Linked DNA regions of Mus musculus. The protein of the gene in region 2 binds, or shares a complex with, the protein of the main gene of each other region. Links are inferred from orthologs where the notes say so. Each region holds a gene or a part of one and is shown on either strand. Other genes may lie near its edges. The genes, in order: Cript, Snrnp200, Lsm8, Cwc15, Snrnp40, Txnl4a and Eftud2.

Region 1 (4,809 bases), on a different chromosome or scaffold from region 2:
TTGTTTCAAAACACAGAACAAGCATATGCAGATTTTAATTGTTACTTTAGATTTCTCTAATATGGTATACATTATCTTTCAGAGCCTCAAAAAGAAAATTCCTGTAAAAATTTAAATATTTGTGACTGGTTTCTACAAAGGGGACATGTGCCAGACACCAGCAACTAATTTTACTTTTTTGGCGAAAATCACTGCAGTTCCCAAATGACAGCCAAGTATACACTTAGATATGCAAATGGTGGAGGACCATCTTAAGATGGTCATTATGCTACACTAAGGGCTCACACTGTCTGTACAGATGTTAAATAATGGTAATAGCAGAACGCGAGTGGGAGGAGAAACAATAGTTTCCAGTCTCTAAATACATATATTTGACCTAGAGAACAGTTTCTATGTTATACTGACTAAAGTTAATTAAGAACTTAAAAGTAACACATGTTACAATGTAGTAAAAATCGGGCCCAAAAAGTAACATCCACACCGCAGGGTGAGGAACTAGCAGGAAAGGTAAAAGCGCAAGTCTGGGCATGGTGCTATTAGCCCTCATTTCATTCACACTTATCGTTTTCAAAAGCAAATGATACTGATTAAGAAAACTGGATGAACAAGTTAGCAGATACGGCCAAGGTTACACACGCACAAGCCATTTCAAGCATCGCCTCTTTAAACAAGAAGAAATCCTCCAGGGTCGGGACAAGAACGCATAGCCGTGAAAAGACTTGGGGAAAGTTTCTCAGATTCTCCCTTCCACTGCGGGGTCAGGCAGGAAGCGCGATCAGAAATCCATCCTAGGCCACCGGCAAACACCCATCTAACACGGCGAGCGCGAGCGGTACCCAAACGCAAAGGTGACACCGGCGAGCGAGTCCCCGACCCAGGACACCACACCTGGGAAGCCGCCCTCGGGACTCGCGATCCCGTGAGAACGGGGTCGGAAGGCTTGGCTGCTCCCGAGCCCTCCTCCTGAGCAGCCTTTGCTCAGGTGCGGACCGCAGCTCCACCCCACCCAGGTGGCTCCGTCCCAGCCTCGGACGGCGCAGTGTGGGCAACTGGAGGTCGCCATCATAGAGAGAGCCCGTGCGGCCGACCCGGTGACCTGAGGTCGGAGTCCCCTGAGAGACTGTGATAGACGCCGGCATCTCAGAGGGTCGGTAGCGCAGGGCATCCTCTGGTCCGCCGGAAGCGTGGCGCCCTGGAAGTCACCGCAGCGGTCGGCGGTGCGACCTGCACCCGCCCCGGGCGAGTGTGAGAAGCAACCCGCCACCGGCTTACCTAACTCTCCCGCCCGCCGAAGGGAAGGGGGACACCACCGCCTCCCACCCTCAGGTGCTACAGGCTGGCATGGCCCCTGGCGCAGGCGCAGACCAGAAAGCGAGGGGGCGGGGGGAACTCACAAGCGCACAGCCAATCGTTGACGAGAAGGGGCGGGATAATGAGAGCAGCCCCGCCCATCAGCTCGCGTTTATCCCTCCCGCGACTTTCTAGGTACGGGATAGGCCGGAGCGGGAGGGCTGAGAGTCCGGAAGCGGGCTGACGTAGCCGGAAGAGGAAGTCGTCTCCGCTGGGGCGTTGTTGTGTTTGGGTTGCTGCTCCTGCTTTGCCGGCTGAGGGCACAGGGACACCCCCATGTAAGGATGGTGTGTGAAAAGTGTAAGTTCAGGGGCTGCTTCTGGGGGAGGTGGAGGGCTGAGAAGTTCTCTCGGGATTTCTCTGGTTTTCCCCTGCTGGTCTGTGGCGTAACCGGTGTCTTCCTACCCTGCCCCTCGGCCCTTCTTGCCTGTCCCGTAAGCATAGCCTTCCGCTCTGTGTTGAGAATGGCTTCAGTTCTGCGCCTCTTGTGTTTGTTTCTGTTGTCGTCCTCGCGCCCCTTCTGGGTCTCCTCCGTTACAACTTCTTGATTGGCTCTCGGAGGCTTAAATCGGATCTTCACGATCTTTCTGGTAGCATCAAGAGTTGACAGATGTCACAAGTATAAGTTCCAGGCTCTCGGTTACATCTTAAGATTATAAGCAATGGTTAATTTCCAGTATTATTAATATGTCCCGAATAATGTTTAAATCTTGACTTTCTGCTTTTCCTTACTACAAAACATGCCGCATTTAATACAGATTTTATTTATTTATTTATTTATTTTTGGTTTTTCGAGACAGGGTTTCTCTGTGTAGCCCTGGCTGTCCTGGAACTCACTCTGTAAACCAGGCTGGCCTCGAACTCAGAAATCCGCCTGCCTCTGCCTCCCCAGTGCTGGGATTAAAGGCGTGCACCACCACCGCCCGGCTAGATTTTATTTTAAAAATTACTTCAGTGGCTATCTGAAATTAAGTTAAATTGGATATTTTGAGCCATCCCGTCAATTCATTAATACTCACAGCTTTGGGTCAGGTGAAGGAGAGAGTCTCATCACCACCAAAGAAATCTTTAAGTAGTCACCCCTGGCTTTTAGAAAGGTCTTTTTAACCCTTTTAGTTACCATTCAGTAATTCCAATGAAACCCTTAAGATTTGTTGTAAATATTTAATTTTTTTTTTTTTGGTAGCTGCAAAAGCTGATGATTCGTTTAAAAACAACTTTCTTCTCTTGATCTCTTTCATGGGCTAGACAGCCTTCTCTGACAAGATTCAACCCACATCTCAGTTACTGGCGGATATACAGGACCCATTTTGTTCATAGCCCCTCAGTATGTAGAACTCTGGACACAGACACCCCTCCAGAGCTGTGCCATTCTTAAACGGTTTTTTATTCTTTTCGAAAGTGGGATAAATGGTTAATTAAATGTGGCTTAAATGTATTTAGATTGTGAAGCCGTCCTTTGTGCTGTGCCCTGAAAGGTCATTTCCTCTGCTCTTCTGAGAAATCTAAGGTCTTATTATCTGTAGCCTCTCAGTCTGTCTGCTCATTGCATGCACCCCGTAAGTAAACTGAGGTACTTGCATACAGAAGCTGTAATGTCAGCAGCCGCCTCAGTTCAGTCTTCCCTTGTATCACACATTATTCGAGAAAGTTACTTTTCTCCAATTTTTTAGAGTTACCTCTTAGAACTTGGCACGTACGTGTTCTCCAGTTGTGCATTTACTGAGTTCCAGGGAGTTTGGTTTCAGTGTGCTTTCTTTTCCTTGTTCTGTTAGGTGTTTGAGGACTGTTTGGCCTCAGCTGGCACATCCATACCACTGAGCATCCAGTGCTCTTCTCCACCCTGAACAGTGCCCTACTTAAACAGTACTAAGTAACTGTCCATTTGGAGCATATAAATACAATATATTTATCATTTTAAATTGCTTTGTTTTCATCAGAACCTTGCATGGTGCTTTGTACAGACTAGGTGATTAGAGAATGTGAGAGAGAGGAATGAATAAGTTTGTCAGAACTGCTTAAAGTATAATCAGTTAAAGCCTGTTACTAGAGCATCGTTTTGTCCTGTAAGTTTTATTTAGAACCAGTATCTGTTGCCCACTGTTACTATCTTAAGTTTTCATTCATTGGTTTCTACCCTGGCATTAGTAGGTTCCTCCTATAATCTGACTTCATATCGTTATGTACTTTAGGCGATACAATATATTTATCATTTTAAATTATTATTGTAAAGTTAGCAAAGAAATGGGTTTTGTTATTTTATTTCCACACAGTTTGCTTATTAGATGACAGCTGTTCTCTTTTGCTGTCTTGGCGACCACAGGTGAAAAGAAACTCGGCAGAGTTATCACTCCAGACACATGGAAAGATGGTGCCCGGAACACCACAGGTACTGTTTGCTGTTAGGAGACAGGAGCTGGGTCAAGCGCTGTGGCCCTGCTCTGGTGCGTCACATTTTGCACAGTGCAGTGTTAGATGCTGATTACCTTGCCCAGTAAACACCGAGGGCTCGGTTCTCCTGGGAGTGCACATCTTTCTTCATCATCTGAGTTACATGTACGGATTCCTCATATAGTCAAGAAGTAGTAAAATTATTATTTCAATGTATGTCTATTTGATTCAGATTGGTAAAGTCTGTGTTTACATTTCCTTCCCACATCTAAGTTTTACATTCTCAAACAAATTTAGACTGCCTTACTTTTTTTTTTTATTAAACGCATACAGCAAAGCCCAGTGCAGTGATGCATGCCTTTAATCCCAGTACTTGAGAGGCAGAGGCAAGCGGATTTCTGAGTTCGAGGCCAGCCTGGTCTATCTACAAAGTGAGTTCCAGGACAGCCAGGGCTATACAGAGAAGCCCTGTCTCGAAAAACAAAAACAAAACAAAACAAACAAACAAACAAAAAAAAACCAAAGTAGACAGATGTTACACATACAAAAAGAGTGTAGGCATTGTCAAAGCACTACTTTAAGACTGAACAATAAAGCAATTATACAGTGTTCATTAAAAACTGGGCTATTATATGAAGATTTTTAAAAATTACAATAAGGGTCTGTGATGGTTTGTATATTCTTGTACCAGGGAGGTGTGGCCTGGTTGGAGTAGGTGTGTCACTGTGGATGTGGCCTTAAGATCCTCACCCTAGTTGCCTGGAAGTCAGTCTTCCACTAGCAGCCTTTGGATGAAGAGGTAGGACTCTAAGCTCTGCCTGCACCAATACCTCCCTGGAAACTGCCATGCTCCCACCTTGATGATAATGGACTGAACCTCTGAACCTGTAAGCCAGCGCCAATTAAATGTTTGTTTTTTTTTTGTTTTGTTTTTTTGGTTTTTTTTTTGTAAGACTTGCCTTGGTCATGGTGTCTGTTCACAGCAGTAAAACCCTAACTAAGACAGAAGTTGGTACCAGGAGTGGGGTATTGCTGTGATAGGCCTGACCATGCTTTTATTTGAAAGAA
Region 2 (4,159 bases):
CAGAAGTGCAGATAATTTCTTTGAGCAGTCGGTCAGTGACCAGCCTCCGCTAGCTCCTTTGCTTCTTTGCAGATCAACGTGCTTCTCCAAGCCTTCATCTCACAGCTGAAACTCGAAGGCTTTGCGCTGATGGCTGACATGGTGTATGTGACCCAGGTGAGGAGTTGCACTGAGTGATGAGCAGAGTCTAAATAGTTCCTGGGTTCTCTGTACTGTGTTCCTCAAAGCAAGGTGGCCAGATACTGCTGGTGGGCCAGCTGCCTGCTGCCACTTTAATTCACCACTCTATTGTGCTGATATTGAGCGTGCAGGAAGGGCGGGCTTTATAAAGTGCTAAGAGGCTCTGTAGGTCCTTGTAGAGAGAGATCCACAGGGCATGTCACCTTCTCCAGGAAAAGTGACTTCCCACCATAGCTTCATGGTCATAAAACATGACAAAATATTTTATTAATTTCTCTGTCTTAACCTAAAAAGGTAGGAGGCAGAAAAACTCTTGTTTCTGAATTGGTATGAGTGATCTCCTCAGATCTCGAGCTCATCAAATTGTGGTAGATAAGACTTCACAACTGGAATACTTGTCTTTCCCTAGTCGGCTGGCCGGTTGATGCGTGCAATCTTCGAAATTGTCCTGAACCGAGGTTGGGCACAGCTTACAGATAAGACCCTGAATCTCTGCAAGATGATTGACAAGCGCATGTAAGGGCTCAGTGAGCTAGAGGCTGGTTGCTGTGAATTTGGGCCTTAGTGCATTTGATGTTCAGTCCTGGTGGCTGAGATATGGCATGAACCTAGGTGAAAGCTGGGAAGTGGGAAGCCCCTGTAGAGGGTAGGGCTGGGGGGGCAACAGCTGGATTGGCTTTCTGGTCTTTCTGCTGTCAGTTTCAGACATCTTCCTCTAATGTAGGGTCTGTGTAGTTATTCCAGACTGTTGGAAGCAGTGATGAAAAACGTGGGGAAGGCAGTTTATTTACAGTGCTACAAAAGAGGTGACCCAGCTCTGTCTCCTTTCTGAATAGGTGGCAGTCCATGTGTCCTCTTCGCCAGTTCCGAAAACTTCCTGAGGAAGTAGTGAAGAAGATTGAGAAGAAAAACTTCCCCTTTGAGCGGCTGTATGACTTGAATCATAATGAGATAGGTGCGTGAAGGTCTTGTCCTGTCCTGCAGCCCAGTCACCTTTCTCTGTCAGCCTCCTCCTTCCTGTTCCTAGACCCTGGGCACTAGTTCTCATGTTTATATCTTACTATTGTGTAAGGCCACTCTTACACTCAGGACTTTGAACTGTTAGTATTGCACTGAGGCTAAAGTGGGGAGCCTATGCACTGGCTAGAATCTGCTCCTTTCCACAGTCGCCTTGGGCCCTGTTTGCAGATTTGCTAGGCTGGCTGGGCCCAGCCCCAATACTCTTCTTCCTCATAGGTGAACTTATTCGAATGCCGAAGATGGGGAAGACCATCCACAAGTATGTCCATCTTTTCCCCAAGTTGGAGTTGTCAGTGCACCTGCAGCCTATTACACGCTCTACGCTGAAAGTAGAGCTGACTATCACACCAGATTTCCAGTGGGATGAAAAGGCAAGGCTTGATGGTCAGATGGGTGGAGTTGGAGTGCCTGAGTCTCCCTCACTGGCTCGTCAGGATTTCTTTCAACCATGCTTGGGTTGGCAGGTCCATGGTTCGTCAGAGGCATTTTGGATTCTGGTGGAGGATGTGGACAGTGAGGTGATTCTGCACCATGAATATTTTCTGCTGAAGGCCAAGTATGCCCAGGATGAGCACCTCATCACGTTCTTTGTTCCAGTCTTTGAACCACTACCTCCTCAGTACTTCATTCGAGTAGTGTCTGATCGCTGGCTCTGTGAGTATCTCCTCTCTGTGTCTCCTAGGAACATACCTTCTAAAGATGGGAGAGGGCTTTTTGCTTTGTTGTAGCATTGTCTCTTTTGAAAGAGTGATACAGACACAAGCTAAGGTCTCCACTGTTCACAGATGAGCTGTGGAGGTCTGCTGGAGGGTTGCTTCCTAGCCTTCCGTTTCTTTCCTGACAGCTTGTGAGACGCAGCTACCTGTCTCCTTCCGGCATCTGATCCTACCAGAGAAGTACCCACCTCCAACCGAACTGTTGGACCTGCAGCCATTGCCTGTGTCTGCTCTGAGAAACAGTGCTTTTGAGAGCCTTTACCAAGATAAATTTCCTTTCTTCAATCCCATCCAGACTCAAGGTAGATGTCAGAGTCTTTTCTTTTTGGTTCCCATGCTTGCCTTTCCTTTTCTAACTGAGACAGGGTTTCTCTATGTACTAGTGCTGGCTATGCTGGAACTCATTCTGTAGCCCAGGCTGGCCTTCAGCTCAACAGAGATCCACCTGCCTCTGTCTCCCAAGTGATGGGATTAATATTGTGCCCCTTCTCCGCCCATACCTGCCATCCATGCCTACCTTTTTTGTTTTTTTCATGCCTACCTTTTTAAGGTTACCTAGTGATAAGTGTGTAGTGCGGCCGGCACTTTGGTGCTCTGCATACCTGCCTGAGGAGGGTGAGAAGAGTAAGGTCTTTCCATGTTGAGTTTTCTTACTCCTGCTCCAGGTGCTAATGCGTGTTCCTGATGCTTTGGTGTTCATCCAGAGTATGACTTTGACTGGGACCTCACTCCATCATTGTACATGATGACTGTTCACAGAGCAAGCCCTGTGCCCAAGTACTTGGCTGAGCACAGGACCAGTGTTTTCTCTCTTCTTCCATCAATCCTTTAAAAGGGTTACTACTTAGCGCCACAGTTAATTTACATTTCATGATGAGGAAGCTGTGGCCTAGACAGGAGCCCTAATTAAAGCAACTCGTAAATAGCTCGGCTTGCTGTCAGGGCTCCCCTTCAGTGTTTGATTATTTGTAGAGACTGCAGGAGACTTGCTGATGGGGCAGAGAAAGGTGTCTTGTTGTGTTTGTACTGTGGCACCGTCCTTGAGAGACAAAGATGCTGGGGTTTTTTTGCTTCTTTCTTTCTATAAATCTCTTAAGACACCTGAGCTTGATCTCGGAGTCTTTCCTTTCCTGCTTTGTAGGAGAAAGTATTGTGAGACACAGACAGCTGGACCAGCGTTTCAGGCTTCTCTGTATACTGCATAGCTGATTGACTTTGTGGCTCATAATCTTGACGAATGATCTGTTTTACTCCCCCTACCCGCACCCCCCCATGTTTACTTTACACCTTTTGGTTTCCAGTATTTAATACCGTGTACAACAGTGATGATAACGTGTTTGTGGGGGCCCCCACGGGCAGCGGGAAGACTATCTGCGCGGAGTTTGCCATCCTTCGGATGCTGCTGCAGAATTCTGAGGGACGCTGTGTCTACATTACCCCTATGGAGGCTCTGGCAGAGCAGGTATGTAATATGCTGTGGGACTGACTGTAAATTTCCCAGAAACCATTCCATAGGTGACCCCAGGAGGAGGTTTTCTCATTTCTGACAACTGCATTATCATTTCTTTTTTGTTTGTTTTCAAGTCAGGGTTTCTCTATGGAACTCTGGCTGTCCTGGAACTTACTCTGTAGACTAGGCTGACCTCAAATTCGAGAGATCTGCCTGCCTCTGCCTCTTGAGTGCTGGGATTAAAGGTGTACACTACTGCCACCACCAAGCACATTATTGTTTCTTAGAGAAAAGCTTTCCTGTCATTTAAAGGCTATTGTAGTTCAAACAATATCATTAATATAGTATGGTGGTACATGATTGTCATCTCAGATGCTTAGTAGGCTGAGGCAAGAGGTTTACTTGAACCCATAAAAAGTTTGAGGTTGGCCTGGGCCCCCCATCTCAAAACAAAAAGTAGAGCATAAGGTATGAGAGTGGCAGCTGTCTGTTGTGTCTCTGTTTCCTCCTAGCAAGTGAGAGGTGAACATGTGATCGACTGTTCTTATGTCTCCCTCCCCTGCCTGTCAGGTATACATGGACTGGTATGAGAAGTTTCAGGACAGGCTCAACAAGAAGGTAGTGCTGCTGACGGGGGAGACCAGCACAGATCTGAAGCTCCTGGGCAAAGGCAACATCATCATCAGTACCCCTGAGAAGTGGGACATCCTCTCTCGGAGGTGGAAGCAGCGCAAGAACGTCCAGAACATTAACCTCTTTGTGGTGGATGAGGTCCACCTTATTGGGGGCGAGA
Region 3 (3,577 bases), on a different chromosome or scaffold from region 2:
ATTGCATCTTCATAGAAAACTGTATACTTCCACTTAAAAACTGAAAAATCCTAGAAAGACAAATTTTATTTGAATTAAAAGGATGTCTACATCTCTCTGACACTAAGATACCCATCCATTTTGGTCCACACGTTAAACTGATGAGTTCCTTGAATGCTTAAAATGTTTAAATAGACCTTACAGCACTGTTTCTATGAATATTTTTAAAAAGTTTATCAAAGTAGCCTCACGGAGCCGGGAGGTGATGGTGCATGCCTTTAATCCTAGCACTTGGGAGGCAGAGGCAGGCGGATTTCTGAGTTCAAGGCCAGCCTGGTGTACAAAGTGAGTTCCAGGACAGCTAGGGCTACACAGAAAAACCCTGTCTTGAGAAAACAAACAAAACAAAAAAACAAAAAACAAAACAACAAAAGTTGCCTCATGGACTAAGTAATGAGAGACAGCAGAGAGCACTGCTCTTGATTTAACTAATTTCCCACATTAAACAAAAGCTCTTTGAATAGAGATATTCCTCACTCTAGTTTAAAAAAATTCAGTAGTACAATGGCATTTAACATTCACAAAATCTTCTTTCAGAAACCAAATCTTGTGACCTTAACAGGCATCTAAAAATTTAGACACAATTTTTCCAACTACTGGAGAACTGTACCACATTGGGATAAACTCTATGACAGTTACCTGTAGACGGCCATTTACTATCTGGTATTTCTAAAAAAAAAAAAAGGAAAGAAAAGAAAACCACAAAAAGAAATGTGTCTTTTATTACTATTATTTGCATTAGTATAAGTTACAATAATAGTCTAAGTTCTCTTTACAGCCAATTTCCCATAAATATTAAATTACCAAAAGTAATGGTATTTTCTAAGTTTTCAAATGATCCTTAGATTTTTGTATCATTTGGTAGAAAAATAAACCAGCCAACCACATTTATTAATTTAGGCAATGTTTCCCAATAAAAAATGTAGAAATATTTAAATTACATATTACAGTGTACCAACATGAAGTCAAACTGCACAATTACACACTCATAAAAACCCTAAACATCACTCTCAGGACAGACGCTTCTGTACAGGATTTACACACATCTCACTACACACTGAGGTCTCAGTGTGCTACGGAGTTCAGAGGCTCTGCTCGGATGTTCCCCAAGTCGAGTGCAGAATCCGTCTCTTCATCTATTTCCCCAATGACTGCTCTGTTATTAATATGAGAAAAAAGAGTCAAAACATTTCTAAAATAAATTGACATACATTTCTAAAGTCTCATTAACTACAGCATCTTGTTTCATGCTTCTTAAACATGTGGAACTGAGAAGGTGCAGCAAAAATACAAGGTAGGAAACAAAAGCCATTTCATCTCATCACTAAGTGAACTGAATTACCCATGTCATGGGACTCAAGAAGTAATGTGAAGGTAGGACAGGAACATATGTAAAGAGATACTGTGAAGAGTCTGAACATCAGCTCTTTGGAAAACTGACATCTGATCTGCAGCATTTATATGAGGCAAACAAAAGTCTCCATGGGGTAGTGGGGCTAATTGCAAGCTACTAACAAGACCCTAATCCATTTATTAGCAAAAATTCTTAAAACTGTTTTCATGGGTTCCTGAAAGCAGGCTCTAGTCCCAGCAGGTTTAGGGTAAATGTTTAATTCTGAATTATTTTTTGTACATAGACCCAGGAGGCACCGTAATCATCAGTCCACACACCCCCAGTGTTTCATCAGTACTGCTGTGGTCAGAGGACCTGGCCCTCTGCTCTGGATCACTCTTTATAACTCACGTTATAATCTAAGCCAAAAGTCATCTCCAGAGACTATTTTATAGATTGTAAACACAATTTTAATTAAGGATCAGTTGATCATATTTACCAAAATACAGTTTTCAGATAAAGTTAAGTGCCTAGAGCATGTGTTCATTTTAAAATAAGTGTACAGTATTAATAAATTAATCTTAAGCATATCCACAAAGTAAGTTCAGTGTCTCTTCCCTACATCTTACGGAGCCCTTCAAACCACCTAGTTACTAACGTCTTTTGCTGTCCTCTAGTCATATTTTGACTATTCATAGTATTTAAACTTAAATGTTAGCCACAGGAGGTAGATTACATGTATAATGCTAACACCTGGGAAGCTAAAGGAAAATGAAGTAAATCTGGGTTGGTAACAAGTTCCAGGTCAGCCTGGTTATCCTCAGAAACCAAAACCAAACAAACAAACTACATAACCCCAAAATCAATTTTTAAATTAGTTCTTTGGTCACCAGCCGCTTTTCAAACACACCACAGCTATACAAAGCAAGTAGCTGTAACAGTGGAAAATGCTGAGGCGTGAGGCTTCCCATCATTAGAAAAAGTGACTGTGAAGAGCACTGCTCGAAATGGTTACAGCCTTTCTCAAACTACACTGTCAGGGTCCTAATTCAACAAAACAATAGGTGCATCGTGGCACACATTAAGTACATCCACTACACTAAAAATAGTAACAGTTAAATGAGCGTGGACCATTTAAAATAATTCAAATGGGAGATTTTTTAAAAGATATTTTCCAAATCGTTAAGAAGCCTCTTTAAGAAATGTGATGAAAAAGCAGGGCCCTTTGTGGACATATCTGGGCACACACAATGATGGTTTAGGCTACTAGGAGGCTGCGGTTGTAGGGGAACCTAAAGTTGAAAGTCAGTCTGAGCAACTTAGGAAGGTCTGGTCTCAAGATGTAAAAAGAGAGACCGCAGCTCAGTAGTAGACTGCCTGTTCCCATGTACAAGATTCTAGGTTCAAACCCCGATTCTCAAATAAGTAAAGACACAGGAAATCTCAGTAGGCAACTGTTTGTGAGATCACTTTAGTTGACCCCTGAGGCATCTAAACATACAGCATTTAGAATTATATATAAGATAAGCTCTACCTACAAAACAAGTTAAGTGCACAATTCTATGATACATATGGCATCATGTATGTTGGAGAAACTCTCTCTTCCATAAAGCAAACATACCAGTAGCACAAATGTACTCAAAATGACTTATGTACTTACACATTGTCGCCCCTCACAATGTATAACCCCAACACCACTTGTTCTACTCCCTGTGAAGAGCTGAACACCCGCTCATGGCTTTCATCCAAAATCAAGTTAATGGTCTGGTCAAAACCTTTTAGTGTTCCCTGAAAAGAAAAAAAAAAAGAAAAAGAAAACAAAAAATAATGTGGTCCTGAATATATAAATCAAACCATTTCAGTTGTCAGCCAAGTACTTATGTCTTCCTTTCTGTCCAAAAGAAGATAAACTATCTTCTGTAGTCCAGAAGTATTCCACGACACAGAGCTTATCCTCCTACTTGTTTTATGATGGGGAAAACCTGTACCATCAATCTCACTGTTGTAGAGTTGTTGGGAGTTGCAAGGGACAGGCAGGCACCAGTATTCTTAAAGTAAGTGACCTCACACGGTCTAGGAACTAGCACTTAAGAATGAACCAAAACAGGACAGATTTAAGGGGAAATGATTTTTTTTTTAAGTTAATAAGGTGAACCACAAACCATCAGTGCAAAAGATCACTGTATATTGCTTCTTCCAGAAAGG
Region 4 (4,159 bases), on a different chromosome or scaffold from region 2:
CTCACTACGACCCGTAATGAAATCTCATTCCCTCTTCTGGTGTGTCTGAAGGCAGCAACAGTGTACTTATCTACAATAATAAATAAATCTTTGGGCCAGAGTGAGCAGAGGTCCTAAATTCAATTCCCAACAACCATATGGTGTCTCACTACCACCCGTAATGAAATCTCATGCCCTCTTCTGGTGTGTCTGAAGGCAGCAACAGTGTACTTATCTACAATAATAAATAAATCTTTGGGCCAGAGTGAGCAGAGGTCCTAAATTCAATTCCCAACAACCACATGAAGGCTCACAACCATTTGTATAGCTACAGTGTACCCATATACATAAAATAAATAAATAAAATCTTTAAAAAAAACCCACAGCACACAAAAGTAGTTTTCATTTTGAAAAGAAATTATGCAACTTTTTATAAGCTGTATAAATTGTAGCAAAAAGTTGGGGACAGTGGTTTATTTAGGTTAAAAATATTTATTACAAGCAGATTCCCCGTTTCCCATATTAAAAAGAAACTAAGGCCTGGTTAGATCCATTTCTAAACCCATTATCTAATAAAGTACTACACTAAGGGAAAGAGACTGAGAAAGTTAACACTGGGAAAGAACAGAAACCAAAAAAAAAAGTCAAATTGATCCTTAACAGTTTAGTTTTTAATTAAGCACATAAAACTATATTACTTAATATATTTCTCCATGAACTTCTTGTGAAATTCAGATCGCAGTGTATCATTTACAAATCGTTTGTCTTTCTTCTGGTCATCTATACCTTTTGCACAGTTCTTAAAAACGACATCATCATCCCATCTAAAGAGGAAAAACAAACAACAAATCTGTTATAGTTCATCAGGAGACAAGAACACAACAGACTATAAACCATCACAGATGCTCAACATGCTGTCACCAGACAGCAAAAGCAGCAGCATGCCTACTGTGTGGGGCTGTCACAGCAGGAGGGCATCCCCACTCAGAGCAGACACCACTTCTCCACTAGGAGCAAGTCAGTTACAAAGAAGACACACATAGATTGTGCTTAGGTAAAAGTGTGGTATTTTCAGATTTAAAACACAGAGGCAGGGCCACTTGTCCTGATCCAGACACCTTCAGACAGTAAGTGACCTGTTTACTGTGCTTTGTACAGTTTCATACATTCTCATCAGTTATATCTACCATGGCACACTTCATAATGCAAGGACGAACTACAGGAATGTAACAAGAAAGATTTATAGACCCATGGCTGCTGAAGTGTTCAGAGTAGAGCTCAGTTATATTTCAGAAAACATTAAACACACTCATCAGCAGGTGTTACGGGAAATACGTAGACCAGAGCTATGACCTTCTACATAAACATAAGCCCTTACATATAATAAAGACACTCAAAAACATGCATTAAACACAGCCCATGTAACATGCTTGCATGTGCTGGTGCATGACCACCAGGAGAAACTGCACAAGGGAAATGAGCAAAGCTATGCACACTTATGGAAACTATGTCAGTAAATTTGTCTTGATGCAGTACACACACTAAAAGCTGACCTGCTCAGTGTGACAGGGATACAAATGTTTTGTCTCATATGCAACATGTAATTGATAGCTTCTCTTCACTTCCTCGCTTGCTCCCAACACCCAAACTGCCCTGCCCCTCTGCAATGCTAAGATACAGTCCTCCCTTTCTGCACTTACATCACCATCCCTAGACCATCATCTCTCTCCTCTCCCAATACTCTGTGACTCTCTTGGCTGTCCTCTTCTCTGGCTGCTAAGTCTTAGCATAAGATTTTAAATTCAAATACTATGTATTATGCATTTACTATGCACTTATACTGGGCACTTCTCTAGTGCTGATACAATCTTTTGACTTCTCTCTGCCCACGCTGGCAACTCCCAGATGCATTATTTAATTTCTAGCTTAGACAAACTGCAGAGACACACAGGCTAGATTTACTTAAGAGATGTACAGAACACTCCAAACCTACAATGCCTCAAACCTGCTTCCTCTTTCACATTCAGCATAAGCCATACTCATCCTCATTCCTGCCTCGCAACTGCTCAGGTCAAATGAATAGAGACTGAGCTATGATAAATTGCTAGTTGTCAGCAACCATCTCCTTGACTGTACTATTGTCTTCAAGAATGTGGGTTAAAGTTTAGCTGCATAGGTCACTACAAGGGCTGTACTTTTCCTGTGATTGAGTAAAGAAGCCAATGGTTCTGGGATGAGAAAAGAGGCTGAAGACGGAGCTTTGTTCATGAAGGGTAGGTACTGAGTGAGTGAGCAGGAGAGTGGCAGGGCAGTGCTTCTTCATTGCCGTGTATGCAGAGATGAGGCAGTGGAGCTCCTCACACCCTCACACACACTACCCCTGCTCCTGTGAGGCATCCTCATCCGACATCGGTGTCCCTCTTCAGCTCTTTATTGTCCCCCTCTGCACACTGTACATGAGAGTTCCCTCTTGGGCCCCGACTCTAAGCGTAGCTTTGGTTAGTTAGCACTGGAAACCCGCACCTTCTCTCACCATCACTGTGCCTATAGTGCACAGGTTCCTACAGGACCACTCCCTTGAGACTCCTGAGTCTCAACTTTAGTTTCACTGTTTGGTGACCTCTTACAAGGAACAGGATTTTAAGGAAGCCTATATCTCTCCACCTTGTGACTTGGATGTATATCCATGAAGACTTACAACTGTATGATCTGTGTGTATCTTATAATATCAAACATGAATACCACCATACCAAGTCCCCTAAGTCCTTCTAGAATTGAATTGTGAGGGGTGGTCTTGGGGACCCCAACACTAACATCTCACGTAAAGCTTGGTAGCTACAGTCACTCTGGCTCTCTTATTTAGACAATCACTAAGCAGAGACTTGGCTATTATAAGTATGCATTAAAATGAAGTCTCCCACCTCTTTTCATCTTCCGTATTCTAAAATCTGATTGGGAAGGTTATCAACAGAAAGTGGGATCCTAGAAACTTTATAGAACACACGGAACACTAACCATGGTCACACACGTACACCAACCCATGACTTTTCGTACCTTCTTTTAACCTTGAAGTTGGCCTGAGGCTGGGACGGGCCAGTGAGGTTTAGGAGAGGGTTTCCACTCAGAATGTTTTCCATGCGAATTCTCTCTTCCTCTGCTTTTTGTTCTTGTTCCTGTCAATGACAGAGGAAGACACAAAGTTACTCTCTCCAGGTCAGCTGACCAATATTAGCCCACAATGAACTCATCTGGTACAGGGAGAAAAGATACTTTTCCTTTTTTTCTGTTTAATGACAGGGTCTCCAGCAACCCAAGCTGGCACGGGACTCGCTAGGTAGCAGAGGATGACCTTGACCTTCTGAGTGCATGGTAGGTGTGCAGGCCCCCATTTGCAGTGATAGGGATGGGGTGGTGCAAGGCCTGCTACAAAGCACTTTACCACTGACCCACTCCTCTTTTTGATTCTTAGTAAATGCCAGGAAAATCTTACTAATAAAACTTAAGCACGTTGCCATTTTTATCCCATCCTTGCCAATAGTCATTGGCCTCTCTAAACTGTGAGAAGCTGAGATGCTAGCAAGGTTGTTGTCTCACTTTTTAAGGGGCTACAGACAACATAATTCAATTTTGAGTTACAAACCATGTTAAGTTTCCATCTCTAGGATGAATTAGTTATTAACTAGGGAGTAATTCCTAAGACAAGACAAACTGTCATGTAAAAGATGGTCACATTCTAATAATATGTACTTCAATTAATTTATATAAAATATCGTTTGTTCTTATGCTTTATTGTTAGCGATCTATACCTTTCTTATATACTTTCTTCACTGTTACAATACTGTCTATATTTTTAAAAAGTATTTCTGTATATATTTAGCGTGTGTGCATGCATGCATATGGGTACCACAGTACAACGGAGGTCAGGGGACAACCTGCAGAAATCCATTCTCTCATCATGTAGGTTCCCTGCTAGGCCATCTTGCCCATTCTCCATTTGTTTTAAAGACACAAATTTTCAATGCTAGTTTGGTTTGGCCTTCAACTTGTGATTTTCCTGCCTTAGCCAATGAGTGTCAGGATCAGAGGTGTGAGTCACCATTTCTAGATCACTTTCTTCACTACTATTGTAACATAAATTTCTTCAAACTCAAATCACTCCATTTCATTTTAAGAATTAGAA
Region 5 (4,159 bases), on a different chromosome or scaffold from region 2:
TTGAGAGTGAGATATCTTCTTGCGATTCTAAATATTTTTACATATTTGATCTGGCTCTGTGCATGTAGCCAATTTCCCACTTTCCCTTCAACTCTTTGCCTTCCTCACTTTGGTTGTCCTTAGGAGGGTCCTCCTCCCAGCCACACTGATCTGACTTCCTTAACATCTCAAGACCTTATCCCAAGAACCCATTCCCACAACAAGAAGAAGTTTGATGTCTTCAAATAAATTCAAAATAAAAAACTATGCAAAAGCAGAATCTTTAAGTGATATGAGATGTTACTCGTGTTACAAAATATTACTTTGGGGCTGAGGAGATGGCTCAGCAGTTAAGAACACTTTTTGCTACTGAGGAGGACCTGGGTTTGAGTCCCTGCACCCACATGGCGGTTCATAACCACTTGTAATCCCAGTTGCAGGGAGTGCAATGCCTTCCGATTGCTGTGGATCTACAGCATGGACTTGGCACACACAGACATACACAGTAACTTATACACTTAAACATGAGGACAAAGGGCAAACTTTTGGTCATGGTATTTCATCCCAGCAATAATAACTTTTAACTAAGACAGGTCTATGGTCTCAACTACTTAAAATGCTGCAGTTCAAGGCTAGCCTGGGCTACAGAAGGTGTTCAGGGCTGAACTGGACAACTTATTGAAATTCTGTCTCAAGCGCCAGCGGAGGTCAGAAGGCACCTGATCTCTTAGAACTGGAGTCACAGAGGGCTGTGAGCCACCATGTGGGAATCAAACCTGGGCCCTGTGCAAGAACAGCAAGTGCTCCTGACTGGCAAGCCAGCTCTCAAGCCCCGTACTTACTGTTCTTATGGAGGACGAGGCATGCATGTTGTCCACATAGAAACATGCAGACAAAGCATCCACACACATAAAATAGGTGTATCTAAGAAATAAAATAAAAAGTAAGGGGCCAGGACGTGGCAGCCAGAGAAGGGGGAATAGTAGCAGGTGTGTGTGTGTGTGCGCGCGCGCACGCATGTGTGCATGGTGTGGACATGGTATCAGGGGACACAGGCATGAGAGTGGCACAGAGAAACGCATGATTCAGGTGGTATTATGAAGCATCATGCCTGGAGAGATCTCGATTGTTGTTTTCCCCCCCTTCCTATTTCTAGGCCCCATTTTTTTCATTTGTAAAATGAGCATGCTGGATAGGATCAGTGGGTTCTAAAATTTCAGTGGGGTAACATTTTAAATACTTTCATGGCCATTCTAGACTCACTGAACCAGGTTCTGATTAATTTTTGCTTACTTGTGATTCATTTATTGAGTTCTTTTTCTTGAGACAGAGTCTGGCTGGACAGCTCAGAATGACCACTCTGACTTTGCCCACCACTCTGGGCGTGTTAGTGTTATTAACTGTCTTTTGAGACTGTCTCACTATGTAGCTGAGGTTGGCCAGCACACCAGTTCTACTCTGGGTATTTTTTTTTTTTTTTTGTTTTTCGAGACAGGGTTTCTCTGTGTAGCCGTGGCTGTCCTGCAACTCACTTTGTAGACCAGGCTGGCCTCGAACTCAGAAATCCGCCTGCCTCTGCCTCCCAAGTGCTGGGATTAAAGGCATGCGCTACTCTGGTTATTTTTAATAGGTTCTTCAGGTGATTCTAACACACACAGTTTGGCAATCATCCAACAAAATGATCTGCATAAGTAGGTGACTGAGATCATTTGCTGACCTCTTTTAGATATCTGTAATTTCACAAGAACCTTGTAAGCACTTATATTACTACTAATAAAGTTCAAAGGGTTAACGAAGTCCGCAAGGCAGTGGCGGTACACGAGGCCAGACTGGTCTACAGAATGAGTTCCAGGACAGCCTGTCTATGCAGAGTAGACAGAGAAATCCTCTCTCCAAAAGAAACCACAAACAAAACCAAACAACAACAACAACAACACCCCAAAACAGTCAATTAAAACCCCAACAAACTAAAAAGACTAAGACAGTAATGCTTGGAGAGTGAGCTGCTCAAAGTCACACAGTTCATCACTGAGCCATGAGTCAGATCCACACAGCCCATTGATTCCAAGTAGCAATATATTCTATAGAATTCTGCAGAGTAGTATTTTAATTAGGAAATTTTAAGTGTGCTTTGGAATACTGGCAGGAAGACAGGATAGAGATTACATTATGCCACCTCAGACAGCGAGACACAGAAAAACAATACCCACCTTAACTGTACCATCGTCACTGCCAGTACAGACAAGTTGGGGGCCCCGCCTGGCTGGGTAACAGGAGTTCACAAAGGAAGTATGCCCCTTTAGCCTTTTCACTCTCTCCCCAGTTTCACTATCCCACACCGCCACAGTTTTGTCTGTCGACGCTGAGAAGAGCATGCTAGAAAGAGAACACAAAGTAAGACAAGAGACCAGAGTAGTCAAGAGCACTGGCTGCATTTCTAGAGGACCTGAGTTGGTTTCCCAGGACACAGAAAACGACCCCAAACCGGTTGTAACTGATGCTGTCTTTCGGCCTCTATAAGTACTGCATGCATGTGGTATACAGATATACATGAAGGGCAAACACCTAAACGCATAAGAAGATAAATCTCAAAAGAGAGAGAGAAAAAAAGGGGCAAAAGTCATCTCTCTCTCTCTCCCCTCCCCCAACCAAAATGTGTCAGGTTCTTTCATCTCACTGCCTGCTGCACTGTGACTTTAGCTCATGACCACAGTGTGCCTCATCCTACCTTTGGCCACCCGATTCACCCTCTAGATTCTGTAGCAGGCTGATCCACATCATAGGAACAATACAGAGGTCTATCAACTCACCTTTTTCCCTTTTTGAGATACATATGGATACACTGCCCTCTAAGATGAAGTATTTAAGTACCACCTGCTGTGGTTACGATGAGGCTGACTGTGGTAATTAGATTTAATAGGTGAGTAACTCCAATTCTTTGTTCTGTCTCTGGGAATGATTTCTATGTTAAAGTTGATCTCATACTGCTCTTTCTGACAGGACCATGCTATGTAGCCCAGGCAGGTTTTGAACTCAAGACGCTCCTGCCCCATCACCACCCAAGACCTGGGAATGGAGTACGCACAATTATAATGCTGAAGAAAAAAATAATTTCTTTCTATTTTATGCCAAAGGGTATGTTGCTTGTCACGTGTGTGCAGTGTCTATAGGCCTGAAGAGGGCACTGGATGCTCTGAAACTGAAGTTACTTAGGGTTGTTGACAAGAATGTGGGTGCTGGGGTGCTGGGAACTGAACCTGAGTCTTCAGCAAGAGCATCAAGTGCTCTTAGCCTCTAAACTATCCCTCCAGCTCCTTATAATGTGTTCTTAATTCACAATGTAATAATGCAACATTGTGAAGTTTGAGATCAGAAATGTGAAACAGGCCAGGTGCAGTGTCATACACTTCCAGTCCCAGTTATTCAGGAGTCGAGGCAGAGGGATGGCAAATTCCAGATCAGACCGAGTAAATGACCAAGACCTTGATTCAGAGAGAAAAAACAGGGGCCGTGGAGATGGAGATGGCTTAGCCGGTATGAGGACCAGAGTTCAAATCTCCACATAAACACTGAGTATGGCCATACATACCTGCAACCCTAGCTCTCTGACAGAGCAGAGACAGGAGAGAACCACTGGGGCTTGCTGCTCACCAACTCAGCTCTAGACTCAGGGAGAGAACTGGTCTCAAGAGAGTAATGACCAGAAAAAAAAAAAAAAAAAAAAAGAAAGAAAGCCAGGTGTGCCTTTAATCCCAGCACTTGGGAGGCAGAGGCAGGCAGATTTCTGAGTTCGAGGCCAGCCTAGTTTACGGAGTGAGTTCCAGGACAGCCAGGGCAAGAGAGACAGAGAGAGAGAGAGAGAGAGAGAGAGAGAGAGAGAGAGAGAGAGAGAGAGAGAGAGAGAAAGAAATGTACAGAACAGTAAATCAGGACACCTGATGTCCTTTTGTCCTTAAATGCACACAGGTACGCATGTAGGGGCACAGACACACCCCACCTCCAAAATGCCATCATATGCTATTAGTATAATGTCTATCTAATCTTGGAACACGAGGCTATGAACAGGTAAAAATAAAAATTAAAAAGATAAGATCATGGGTTGGTGAGATGGCTCAGAGGTAAAGGTAGCCACTACCAAGCCTGATCTCCGTGCTCATGTTTTAGAAAATAAGAACCAATG
Region 6 (4,689 bases), on a different chromosome or scaffold from region 2:
AAACTTACGAATGTGTATTTTGCCATTACACTAAGGAAGTAGAACAACAGTGATTTTAATGTAATTCAAACTTACATTTTTAATAACTATACTAAAACATAGTATTAAAAGTTTATTAAGAGTATGGAAAAAATTGCTCAGTGGTTAAAGAGCTTGCAGGACCCAAGTTCAGACCCCCAGAAACCCATATCAAGAAGATATGATGGCCTACCTTAATTCTAGTCCTAAAAGATGGAAGACAGAGGATCCCTAGAGCAAGCTGGCTAGCAAGACGAGCCTCACTGGCAAGCTCAGTGTTAAGGAAAGACCTTGCCTCAGTGAATACCGAGGTGAAGAGTGACTGAGGAGGACGGGCACAGGACACCTGGCTAGCATGGTGGTACCAGAGTTATTAAGAGGAGCAAAAAGGGAGCTCATTAAGAATGCAATCACATTTTTTGGACAAAAGAAAATGCAAATTAAAAGACTAAAGGAAATATTTTTGAAGGAGACCAATGAACCCAACACCAAATACAGCGCATGTCTGGTGAGTGGGATGGCTGGCCTTGTCTGCACCTGAGCAGCACTGAGACAACAAGATAACAAGTACGGGAAACGCTTAAGTTCTGTTTAGCTGGGGAAGAGCAAAGGGCCTCAGACACAGCCCTCCTGACAGGAAAGCCCTCCTGACACTGGTCAAACCACCTTCAGGTCAGAATAACTAAAGGACAGCTGTCCTCAACTAAAGCAGACTCAGCCGTGGACCTGCTTGTAGTGGTGCTTCAGTGAATCTCTGCATTTGCCTTCTGAGGGACCCAATCACCTCATTCGTACCTCTAGCCTGACTGACAGGACAGCCTGCACGCCTGCAGGAGAGAGACTCCCAGAGGAACAGGGCAGGGCTGGCTGAGAAGCTGCTCCTCAGAAGCTAATCTGCACCGAATCCCCTGGAGGCCTCAGCCCAGACCAACCGTGTTCCAAGCTTCCAGAGAAGCACTCGCAGAGACACCTGTGATAACTGGATGTCAGAACTGCCCTCCACCAGCCTCTCCGCAACACGGAAGCAGAAAGCCAAATGCTGCTGCTTTTCCTTCACACGCACACATCCCCGTGTCTTACTCCAGAGAATGTCTTTGCTATGGTGACTATGGTTCAGTGGCAAGGCACCTGACCCTGGCCTCACTTATAGCTCAAGTAAATAAAGTGACAATCCTGTGGCAGACGTCATTTGAAAGCTAAGAACTACTTTAAGCCAGCAGGCGTTAGCAGCATGGGTGAGAAGGAAAATAGTTCCAGCATTTCTATCAGTGTTAACTCTTCTTTGACTTTCAGGCTAAGCATGGTGGCAAACACCTTTAAAGCTAGCACTGGAAGGTGGAGACAAAGGCAGATAGACTTGTCTGCAGGGTCTAAAGACATATAGATACATGTCTACACAAGTTCCAGGGCTATGTAGGGAGGTCCTGTCTCAAATAAATAAGAAAGTAAATAAAATAATATTGAAATTACTTATCATTAAATATTACAGTCTTTGCCCTATTGTTACAATCATAAAAAAGTTAAGTCATCCTAAAACCGTGAAGAGGAATTCACAGAATGAACCTCCTAATCGTGTAACAGTGCCTGACAATTACACTTCCAGTGTCAGGAAACAAGTACTGCCACCCTGCTTATAAATATGGAAAACTAAGAACACCAGTTCCACCCAAACTCAACTTTCAGCATTTGAATAACTGCAAGCTACAAATCAAGTAACTTACAAAGAGCTTGAGGCTCATCCCAGGACTTGGGAGGAGGCAGGGAGAAGGAAAGAATGTGCAAGGTCCCTCTGGGCGACACAGTGAATCCGGTTTTCTTCTCTCCCAGAGAGGGGGTGGGGGCTAAAAAGTCCATCATGGTATTAACCTAAAAGTTCTGCTTCATAAATACAATAAATCCATAAAATATTGAGAAAAGGCCAATAATGTTAAGCTAAGCCGCCTAAGTAAGCTCCAACAAGCTCAACAAAGCTTGCAAAGTCACTCTGTTGACTACACATAAGGTACATTGTTTTTCTTTCTTGAGACAAGGTTTCTCCGTGTAGCCCTGGCTGTCCTGGAACTCAGAAATCCGCTTGCCTCTGCCTCCCAAGTGGTGGGATTACAGGCATGCGCCACCACTGCCCGGCGATACATTGTTTTTGAGACCCAGTCTTATACAGTCCTGACTGGCCTAGAACGATCAGTGCCTCAGCTTCTAGAGTGCTAGGATTAAATGCATATGCCACCGCACCTGGCCCTAGTAAATTTTTTAAAACATCATCCACAGTGGTGCCCGGTAATCCCAGAACTCTGAGACTGAGGCGGCGAGTTTAAGGTCCGTCTGACTATATATACATATAGATACATACACAAGACCTATCTCGGACCATCCATCCCCTTCCGTAATCACAAAAAAACCCCCAAAATTTATCATCACTTATTTTAGGAGGAAATCATAAATTTCTTCAAATTTTAAGAAACTCTAACCATTTCTAGCACAAACCTTGCCCGTACATGAACCCCGTCTCTCTGTGGGTCTCTGCATGGAACACAGGACTCGGGCTTGAAATCTGGCGTCCAAACCGCCCTGCGGGGCCCAGCACGGCGAACACTGCACATGAGTTACCTTTTCGGCGATGCTGTACAGAACCTCGTCCATCTTCATGCAAGTGGGGTCCCAGTCGTGTCCGAAACGAATGACGACCACGCGGTCCTCCTCCGAAAGGATGGCCTGGTCTACCTGCCAGCCATTGTGCAGATGCGGAAGCATGTACGACATCTTGAGCGCGCCTGCGCGGCCGGACGCCGCGAGCTACCTGTGGGTAGAAAGAGCAGAGGATCGCGACCCCATCCGGACCCCAAGAACCTGGCCTGCACCCCAGACTCTGCCTAGGGCCCCACTGCAAACCTGCAGGCCACCGCACCCCAAACCTCCACTGCTCGCCCCGGGCCCAAAGCCCATACAGGGCCTCGGCTCGCACGGGAACCACACCCTCGAATCGCCACCTCCGCAGGGAACACACCCCGGCAGCCCCTGCCCCATGGGGCCACACCAGACGACCTCTAACCTCGTGTGAGCCCACGCGGCCCAAACACCGCGTCCTCCACCCAGCACCAGCTCCTCCCGCGCCGTCACGCGCTGACGCTTTTCGGCGCTGCTGCGCAGGCGCACGCTGGCGTCATGCGCATGCGCGGGGACGTCGCCGTCGGCCTCTTGGTCCCCACCCCACCCCTGGTCGCCGCCCAGCGAGCTGGGCCTGCGCAGAGCGAGCCGTCGGTGAGCGCGTCGAGCTCGCCTTCTTGGCGACTCGGTGCCTCTGCCGAGGGGGCGGGGATACCCGAGTCTAATCTCGCGCTCAGCCTCTTTAGCAAGTGCTCCAGAGCACGGTCGAGACCCAAGCGTCCCCACCTCGTAACGCGTCTAGTGTTGTGGGGTAATTTGTCTCTATTTTTATTATTTTTGTCTTTTCTTTTCCTTCTTTCTTTTTTTTTTTTCGAGACAGGGTTTCTCTGTGTAGCCCTGGCTGTCCAGGAACTCACTCTGTAGACCAGGCTGGCCTCGAACTCAGAAATCCGCTTGCCTCTGCTTCCCGAGTGCTGGGATTAAAGGCGTGCGCCACCACGCCCGGCTTATTATTTTTTTATTGTGCTGAGAAATATGGCAAGTCTTTGGCCAAACTTCAGCCATGCTCCTGATCTTTTCCATAGGCCTATCTATGCATTCTTCTGTAAAATATCTTTCTGCATCATCAGACACTCTTGGATATAATCAAGTTTTTGGACCTGTACCTTATCCCAGAGGTCAGATCTCCTTGGCTTCAGCCATTATCCTCCTAATTTCTCTTTCACAGATCCATTCCTCTTCACCCATAATGTTCCACAATTGGTAATTGAACATATTTTCCTCCCTACAAGACCACGTTGCAGTGTTCCTGAACCATCTTCTTAAGCTATTACAAGTAGGAATACTTTTCTTTACCATATCTGTGTGTGTGTGTGTGTGTGTGTGTGTGTGTACGCATACGCGCGCACACACACGTGTTTAAGTTTGCCACTTTAACCATTTACTGGCATTAAGTACAAGTCACCACTATCCCTCTCCTGATAAAAATTACAAATTAAAAAGCAACGGTTGAGGAGATGACTCCAAAATAAAAAGCATTTGTGGCTTTTCATGAAAACCCAGGTTCTGGAGCTAGAGAGTTGCCTCAGCAGTTCCAGAGGACCCAGGGTTCAATTCCCAGCTATCACATGATGGCTGGCTGTAATTCCAAGATCTGACACCCTTACTCAGACATGCATGCAGGCAAAACACTAAGCCACACAAAATAAAACAAGACCCAGACTCGATTTCCATCACCCGTATGTCAGTGGGCAAACGTCCATGACTCCAGTTCCAGGGGACTCAGCACACTCTGGCCTTTTCAGGCACAAGGCACAAAACAGTGCACTTACACATATGTGCAGGCAAAACATTCATACTCATACATCTTTTTTTTTTTTAAGTTCAACTTCATCCTTGGATCATACATAGTATGTTTGAGGCCATTCAGAAGTATATAAGATCCTGTCTCAAAAATAAATAAAAATAATTTTAGGGGCTGGAGAGATGGCTCAGTGGTTAAGAGCATTGACTGCTCTTCTAAAGGTCCTGAGTTCAAATCCCAGCAACCACATGGTGGCTCACAAC
Region 7 (4,756 bases), on a different chromosome or scaffold from region 2:
GTAGCAGAGGGTGGGGGCATGACAGAAGCCTAGAATGATCTCAATTTAGACTGCTTGCTTTTAATTCCTGTAGCCCACCATGAGAGGAGGGCCTGAGAAAAATAGCAAGCCAACCTGAACTCCTCATAGGAAGGCACCCTTTGCTCAACTGCCCGTAACTTGGCTGCGTTCTCCCTTTTGTACTTCTCGTCAGCAGCAAGGGCAGCCTGCAGCTCTTTCTCCAGGGCCTTGAAGTTGATTACATCGTTCTTCTCCATGGCTAAGGCCTGGGAAGGCAAGAAGAATGCATGTCAGCAGAGCTTAAGTCTTCAGGGTAAAGATGATGCCCTGGGATTCATTGCCAGAATGTGAAATGACCCAAAGCAATCTGATACTTAACCTGGAGTGTTATAAAAATCTAGTTTCTTCCTTTACAGGTAAAATGGAATTGCGTGATGAAAATGTATTCCAGGCTTCTCACTGAGAACAAAACAGAAAGGTTTCCCGTTTGAAGTCTTGACTTTGCTCTCTGCTTCTAACAATATTTTAGACACTAAGGGCTGGATCAGCGGTAGGATTTTGCCTTGTGAATGCAAATGCCTTGGGTTTGATCCCCAGCAAAACACAAAACCACAACACACACACACACCTATTAATTCAGGTGTTTCATCTGAGGAGGCAATTTGGAGTTCAGATTTCTGACTCTTCATTCTTTCACATAGGATTTCTCTATATCAGTTTATTACCATAAAGGAACAGAGCGGGGGAGGGGGGGAGAGGGGAGGACAGACACAGATACAGAGAGAGACAGAGAGGTTTCTTTTATTATCTACTCCAGCTCAAGGACAAAATTTCACACTTCACTAAATGTCTTTAATGAAGAAAAAAAAATCACCTCAACCAAAAGCAATGACAAAGCAGGAAGTTGAGAAGTGTCAGAAGGAGAAAACTCAGTAGCCTCCATCCCCAAATCCCTGAGCAGCACAGAGCGGCAGGCAAATGTGTGCTGTGTGGGCATTATCTCCAGTCCTACCACTGAAGTCCTGCCGCCTCCCGGTATGTGTCTGATGGGGCTGTTTTCATAGGAAGCTATGTGTTCCGGTCTGGCTTCTGACATTTACTTATGATACCTCTTTCCACCTCAGAATCCTGGTGAGCTGGAGCCATAGTTCACTCATGATCAGCCCTAGGGCAGGAAATGAGCTGGTCCGCAAGCAAATCCACAGCCATCCCAACCATGATGGGAAATGGAACGCCGAGAAGTGGGCTGTGTTACTCAGCCAACAATTGTACTCAAGAGTCTCATACCCTAAGCAATATTTTGGGGGGTGAGGAGATCTCGCTGTGCCTAGTTTGCTCTCTCCAAAACTTCTGAGCTCATCATGATCTAGGCTCAGCCTCTAAGCAATAGAGACGATAGACTCTCGCTACCCGACCCATTTCTCTGTCGAGTTCTAAGCCTTCTCCAATTATAGAATGACTAGAGCAATCCCCTTTACTGTCCCTAAACCCTCACCCAGTCTTGGACTCCCTGCTTTCTCTCGAGAAACCCCGGATCTGGTAGAACACCTTAGTGCATCGCCCTCGCAACAGAGATTGTTGCCTAGCAACGGCGCCACCAGTCTGCCCACGTGACCGGCCCGAAGGCCCTCCTTTCAGGCTGTCCTAAGGCGCCTGATCAGAATCCTCCGGCCTTGCTTTTTTTGTGGAGAAGTCCACGCTTCGTTTTGAGGACCAACAAGTTGGCCTTTCCCATTTCTGTCTCCGGGGCCAGAATTTCTCGAAGCTGTTCCTTAGGCAGAGCTGTCCTCCGAGGCGAGGCGGTCCGGCGACGCGCTCGGGGTCCTTCCTAGCGCCGGGCGCCGGCGTTGTCGCGGCGTGCGGCGGAAGCGCGGGCTCAGGCGGCGGACCGGGGCACTCGGCTGAGCATTCGGCGGGTGAGCTGGCCGGGAAGGGTCCTTTCGGGGCTTGGGGAACGAGCGAAACATGAGCTTGGGAAGAGGCGATTTATATAGTACTTATCCCTTTCGCTTAACGAACGCGTAAATTGAATTCTGGCGTGGGAAAGAGAATGAAAGACCCCAACGCACGCACACACCGTCGATTCCGGGGTTTCCGCGGTCCCCAACGTGGTTAAGATCCTGTCCCTTAGTAGAGGTGGCGCTGTAAAGACCCAGGCCCCTGCCACTCCCCCTTCCATCGGTGCCTGCTTCACCGCCAGACTGTCTCCATCTTCAAACTATTCTGCATCCGAGCTGACTGTGATGGCGAGTGCCTAATTTTTGCGCTCTGGAGATGCAGACAGAAATATTGGTGCAGGTTCAAGGCTAAGTAGCGGGTCTGGTTCAAAAAGCCAAAACCAGAAAAGATTCCAGCATTCCTTTGAGATTCTGCGTTGCAGTGGGAAGATGCAGTTTTGGTTATTTAGAGTAGCTTTACTTAAACTAAGCATATCACTAATTCACTCCCCTACCCAAAGCCACCCTCGAAAAACAAAACTAGCAAAACGTATTGAGGGCCTATTTTGTCCCAGGCACTGTTGTCGTTTTGCTCCTATTTTATTATTAACATTTATCAGTAGCGGGCACACACACATGTTCCCTAAGTACTACTCAGGCATAACCTTGACTTTACTTAGGCGAGGGGTGTAACTCGGTGGAGAAGTGTTTAGTAGAGTGTGAGGCCCAGGATTCGATCTTAAGCACCCAGCCACACACTAAGAGATTAGTGTAAGGGTGGCCTGGCAAGTATATGTGGAGTGACAAATAGGTGACATTAAAGGAAAAGGGTGAGTTAAATGAATTAAGAAGGTATACATAGCCAGAGGACAATGGGAATGACAATTATCCTGGGGGCAGAGATGAGTTTGGCTTGTTCAGTAAACAACCTTCTTTAAAAATTTGTGATGGTAATCTTGGGAGAAGACAATGAACATAATTGTGGTTGCCTCTTAGAAATAAAAACAGTAGGTATACTGTAAGAAATACCAGAATTTCAGAACAAAACATTCCACTCCCTTAGCTTTACTGAGTGTCTTTTTGTGCAAGGTGCTGTCAGGGGCATTGGTGCGTGAACACAAAGGAGCATGGGGATTCACGTGCTCAAGAAGGTCAAGTTTTGTTATGACCAACATTTGTTACTTGTTGCTTTTTGAGACAGGGTCTCTCAGGATGTATGTAGGATCATGGGTATAAGATCCTATGCTTGGATAATCACACTGTGTGTGTTTCTGTGTGTGTGTGTGTGTTTCTGTGTAGTAAGTGAGGATCAGATGTGCTGTGGCTTGCAGGTGGAGGTCAGAGGACAGCTTCAGGGTTTGGTCCTATCTCCTCCTTACTGCCAATACCAGGCTAGCTGGCTCTGAGCTTCAGAGAATCTCTGCCTCCCATTTCCTGTTGGCCGTCTAGGATCACAGACACTCACACTACCCTATGTAGCTTTTCAGTGGGTTTCCAGGACTGAACTCAGGTTATCAGGCTGCACAGCTAGGTACTTACTCATTGCCTTTATAAGGTTTTAGGCAATAATAAATCACTCTAAGGAGGTAAACTAACTTCTGTGAGTTACGTCATCCTTAGAAATGAGGCCAAGATAGGATGGATCGAGGTCTTTAACCCCAGGGGCCTGATGCTTTTTCCCCTGCTCTGGTTTGTGTTGCTCGCAAACCGTAGAATTGTTTTTTAGAATAACAACAGTTGCCTAGCATTTGGGACAGAAGATACTGACGAGAGTGAGAGGCTGAGGGGCTGGGAAGGCTGGTAGGGTGAGATCTAAACTGTTCTTTTGAACAGAATATTCAGTCGTTGAAGTGGGGGGAAATCTGCTGATGTTGCAGACAATTGTAAGGTAGCGTGTGGTTGATGAGATTCGAACCTGGGTCCTTTAAAAGAGCAGTGAGAACAATGAGTTCTTACCCATCACTAAGGGACAAGCATGTCCGCTGTCACCATAATTAAGGGTCAAAGTTAGAATCATCAGTGAGGACAAGTTGGAATCGTGTACCTCTCAGAGCAGAGGCAAAGCCACACGAAGGGAGATTCTTCAAAAGCCTTGGTTTGTAATCTGGAAAAGTGTCACGTGAAAGTCAAGTACGATCCTAGTTTGTGTCCTTAGCAGTGTCGTTTGTGACTGGAACAGTTTCTCAAACTTGGTGGAGCCTGTGGATTAGGTAGTATAACCTGCTGGTATTCATTTTTATTTTGATGATTGCATTGTGATATTTTGAGAATACTATTTTTTTTTTTTTAAGTGAGATGCTGGAAAGAGAGTTTAGCATTTCAGAGTACCTGCTAGGCAACCATGAAGACTTGGAGTTAGATCCTACCTAGAACTCACATGACAATCCTCATGTTCCTAAATGATCCAATGCATAAAATTACACACACACACACACACACACACACACACAGTTTAATTGATTAAATAAATACAGAAAGGGAATAGGTGGACTAGGCATTACTTGTACACCTGTTATGTGGGGGGGGGGGGCAGAGGCAGAGGATCTTGAGTTGAAGGCCAGGTTGGGATAACAGTGAGAACCTATTTTAAATGTAAAAATAAAGCCAGATGGGACTGGAAAGATGTCTCAGTGGTTACGACCACTGACTGCTCTTTCAAAGGACCCAGGTTCAACTCTCATCATCCACATGTTAGCTTACATCTGTCTGCAATTCCAGTTCCTGGGGATCTGGCTTGTATGGGCAATGTGTGCCTATGTGTATGGTACCCAGATATACATGCAGGCAAAACACCCATACAGAGAAAATAAAAATAGATA

What was found.
Region 1: Snrnp200 (region 2) and Cript share a complex: the UniProt entries of both Homo sapiens proteins name them as parts of the minor spliceosome. The link is inferred for Mus musculus from reciprocal best matches to the Homo sapiens genes SNRNP200 and CRIPT.
Region 3: Snrnp200 (region 2) and Lsm8 share a complex: the UniProt entries of both Homo sapiens proteins name them as parts of the U4/U6-U5 tri-snRNP complex. The link is inferred for Mus musculus from reciprocal best matches to the Homo sapiens genes SNRNP200 and LSM8.
Region 4: Snrnp200 (region 2) and Cwc15 share a complex: the UniProt entries of both Homo sapiens proteins name them as parts of the minor spliceosome. The link is inferred for Mus musculus from reciprocal best matches to the Homo sapiens genes SNRNP200 and CWC15.
Region 5: Snrnp200 (region 2) and Snrnp40 share a complex: the UniProt entries of both Homo sapiens proteins name them as parts of the U4/U6-U5 tri-snRNP complex. The link is inferred for Mus musculus from reciprocal best matches to the Homo sapiens genes SNRNP200 and SNRNP40.
Region 6: Snrnp200 (region 2) and Txnl4a share a complex: the UniProt entries of both Homo sapiens proteins name them as parts of the U4/U6-U5 tri-snRNP complex. The link is inferred for Mus musculus from reciprocal best matches to the Homo sapiens genes SNRNP200 and TXNL4A.
Region 7: Snrnp200 (region 2) and Eftud2 share a complex: the UniProt entries of both Homo sapiens proteins name them as parts of the minor spliceosome. The link is inferred for Mus musculus from reciprocal best matches to the Homo sapiens genes SNRNP200 and EFTUD2.

Annotation. Positions count from the first base shown.
Region 1 is NC_000083.6:87,024,026-87,028,834, forward strand, and holds the start of Cript (cysteine-rich PDZ-binding protein), read left to right. Parts: upstream 1-1,535; 5' UTR 1,536-1,634; coding exon 1,635-1,650; intron 1,651-3,673; coding exon 3,674-3,739; intron 3,740-4,809. UniProt on the Homo sapiens protein: As a component of the minor spliceosome, involved in the splicing of U12-type introns in pre-mRNAs. Involved in the cytoskeletal anchoring of DLG4 in excitatory synapses.
Region 2 is NC_000068.7:127,228,470-127,232,628, forward strand, and holds part of Snrnp200 (U5 small nuclear ribonucleoprotein 200 kDa helicase), read left to right. Parts: intron 1-72; coding exon 73-156; intron 157-589; coding exon 590-696; intron 697-1,016; coding exon 1,017-1,135; intron 1,136-1,416; coding exon 1,417-1,571; intron 1,572-1,664; coding exon 1,665-1,854; intron 1,855-2,044; coding exon 2,045-2,218; intron 2,219-3,217; coding exon 3,218-3,378; intron 3,379-3,936; coding exon 3,937-4,159. UniProt on the Homo sapiens protein: Catalyzes the ATP-dependent unwinding of U4/U6 RNA duplices, an essential step in the assembly of a catalytically active spliceosome. Plays a role in pre-mRNA splicing as a core component of precatalytic, catalytic and postcatalytic spliceosomal complexes.
Region 3 is NC_000072.6:18,851,219-18,854,795, reverse strand, and holds the end of Lsm8 (LSM8 homolog, U6 small nuclear RNA associated), read right to left. Parts: intron 3,161-3,577; coding exon 3,033-3,160; intron 1,196-3,032; coding exon 1,105-1,195; 3' UTR 744-1,104; downstream 1-743. UniProt on the Homo sapiens protein: Plays a role in pre-mRNA splicing as component of the U4/U6-U5 tri-snRNP complex that is involved in spliceosome assembly, and as component of the precatalytic spliceosome (spliceosome B complex).
Region 4 is NC_000075.6:14,506,844-14,511,002, reverse strand, and holds the end of Cwc15 (spliceosome-associated protein CWC15 homolog), read right to left. Parts: intron 3,153-4,159; coding exon 3,034-3,152; intron 804-3,033; coding exon 674-803; 3' UTR 383-673; downstream 1-382. UniProt on the Homo sapiens protein: Involved in pre-mRNA splicing as component of the spliceosome. Component of the PRP19-CDC5L complex that forms an integral part of the spliceosome and is required for activating pre-mRNA splicing.
Region 5 is NC_000070.6:130,366,385-130,370,543, reverse strand, and holds part of Snrnp40 (U5 small nuclear ribonucleoprotein 40 kDa protein), read right to left. Parts: intron 2,356-4,159; coding exon 2,190-2,355; intron 1-2,189. UniProt on the Homo sapiens protein: Required for pre-mRNA splicing as component of the activated spliceosome. Component of the U5 small nuclear ribonucleoprotein (snRNP) complex and the U4/U6-U5 tri-snRNP complex, building blocks of the spliceosome.
Region 6 is NC_000084.6:80,205,280-80,209,968, reverse strand, and holds the start of Txnl4a (thioredoxin-like protein 4A), read right to left. Parts: upstream 3,144-4,689; 5' UTR 3,068-3,143; exon of another isoform or gene 2,908-3,067; intron 2,816-2,907; 5' UTR 2,779-2,815; coding exon 2,626-2,778; intron 1,860-2,625; coding exon of another isoform or gene 1,740-1,859; intron 1-1,739. UniProt on the Homo sapiens protein: Plays a role in pre-mRNA splicing as component of the U5 snRNP and U4/U6-U5 tri-snRNP complexes that are involved in spliceosome assembly, and as component of the precatalytic spliceosome (spliceosome B complex).
Region 7 is NC_000077.6:102,878,055-102,882,810, reverse strand, and holds the start of Eftud2 (116 kDa U5 small nuclear ribonucleoprotein component), read left to right. Parts: upstream 1-1,835; 5' UTR 1,836-1,916; intron 1,917-4,756. Other genes in the region: Ccdc103 (coiled-coil domain-containing protein 103), read right to left, coding at 115-257. UniProt on the Homo sapiens protein: Required for pre-mRNA splicing as component of the spliceosome, including pre-catalytic, catalytic and post-catalytic spliceosomal complexes. Component of the U5 snRNP and the U4/U6-U5 tri-snRNP complex, a building block of the spliceosome.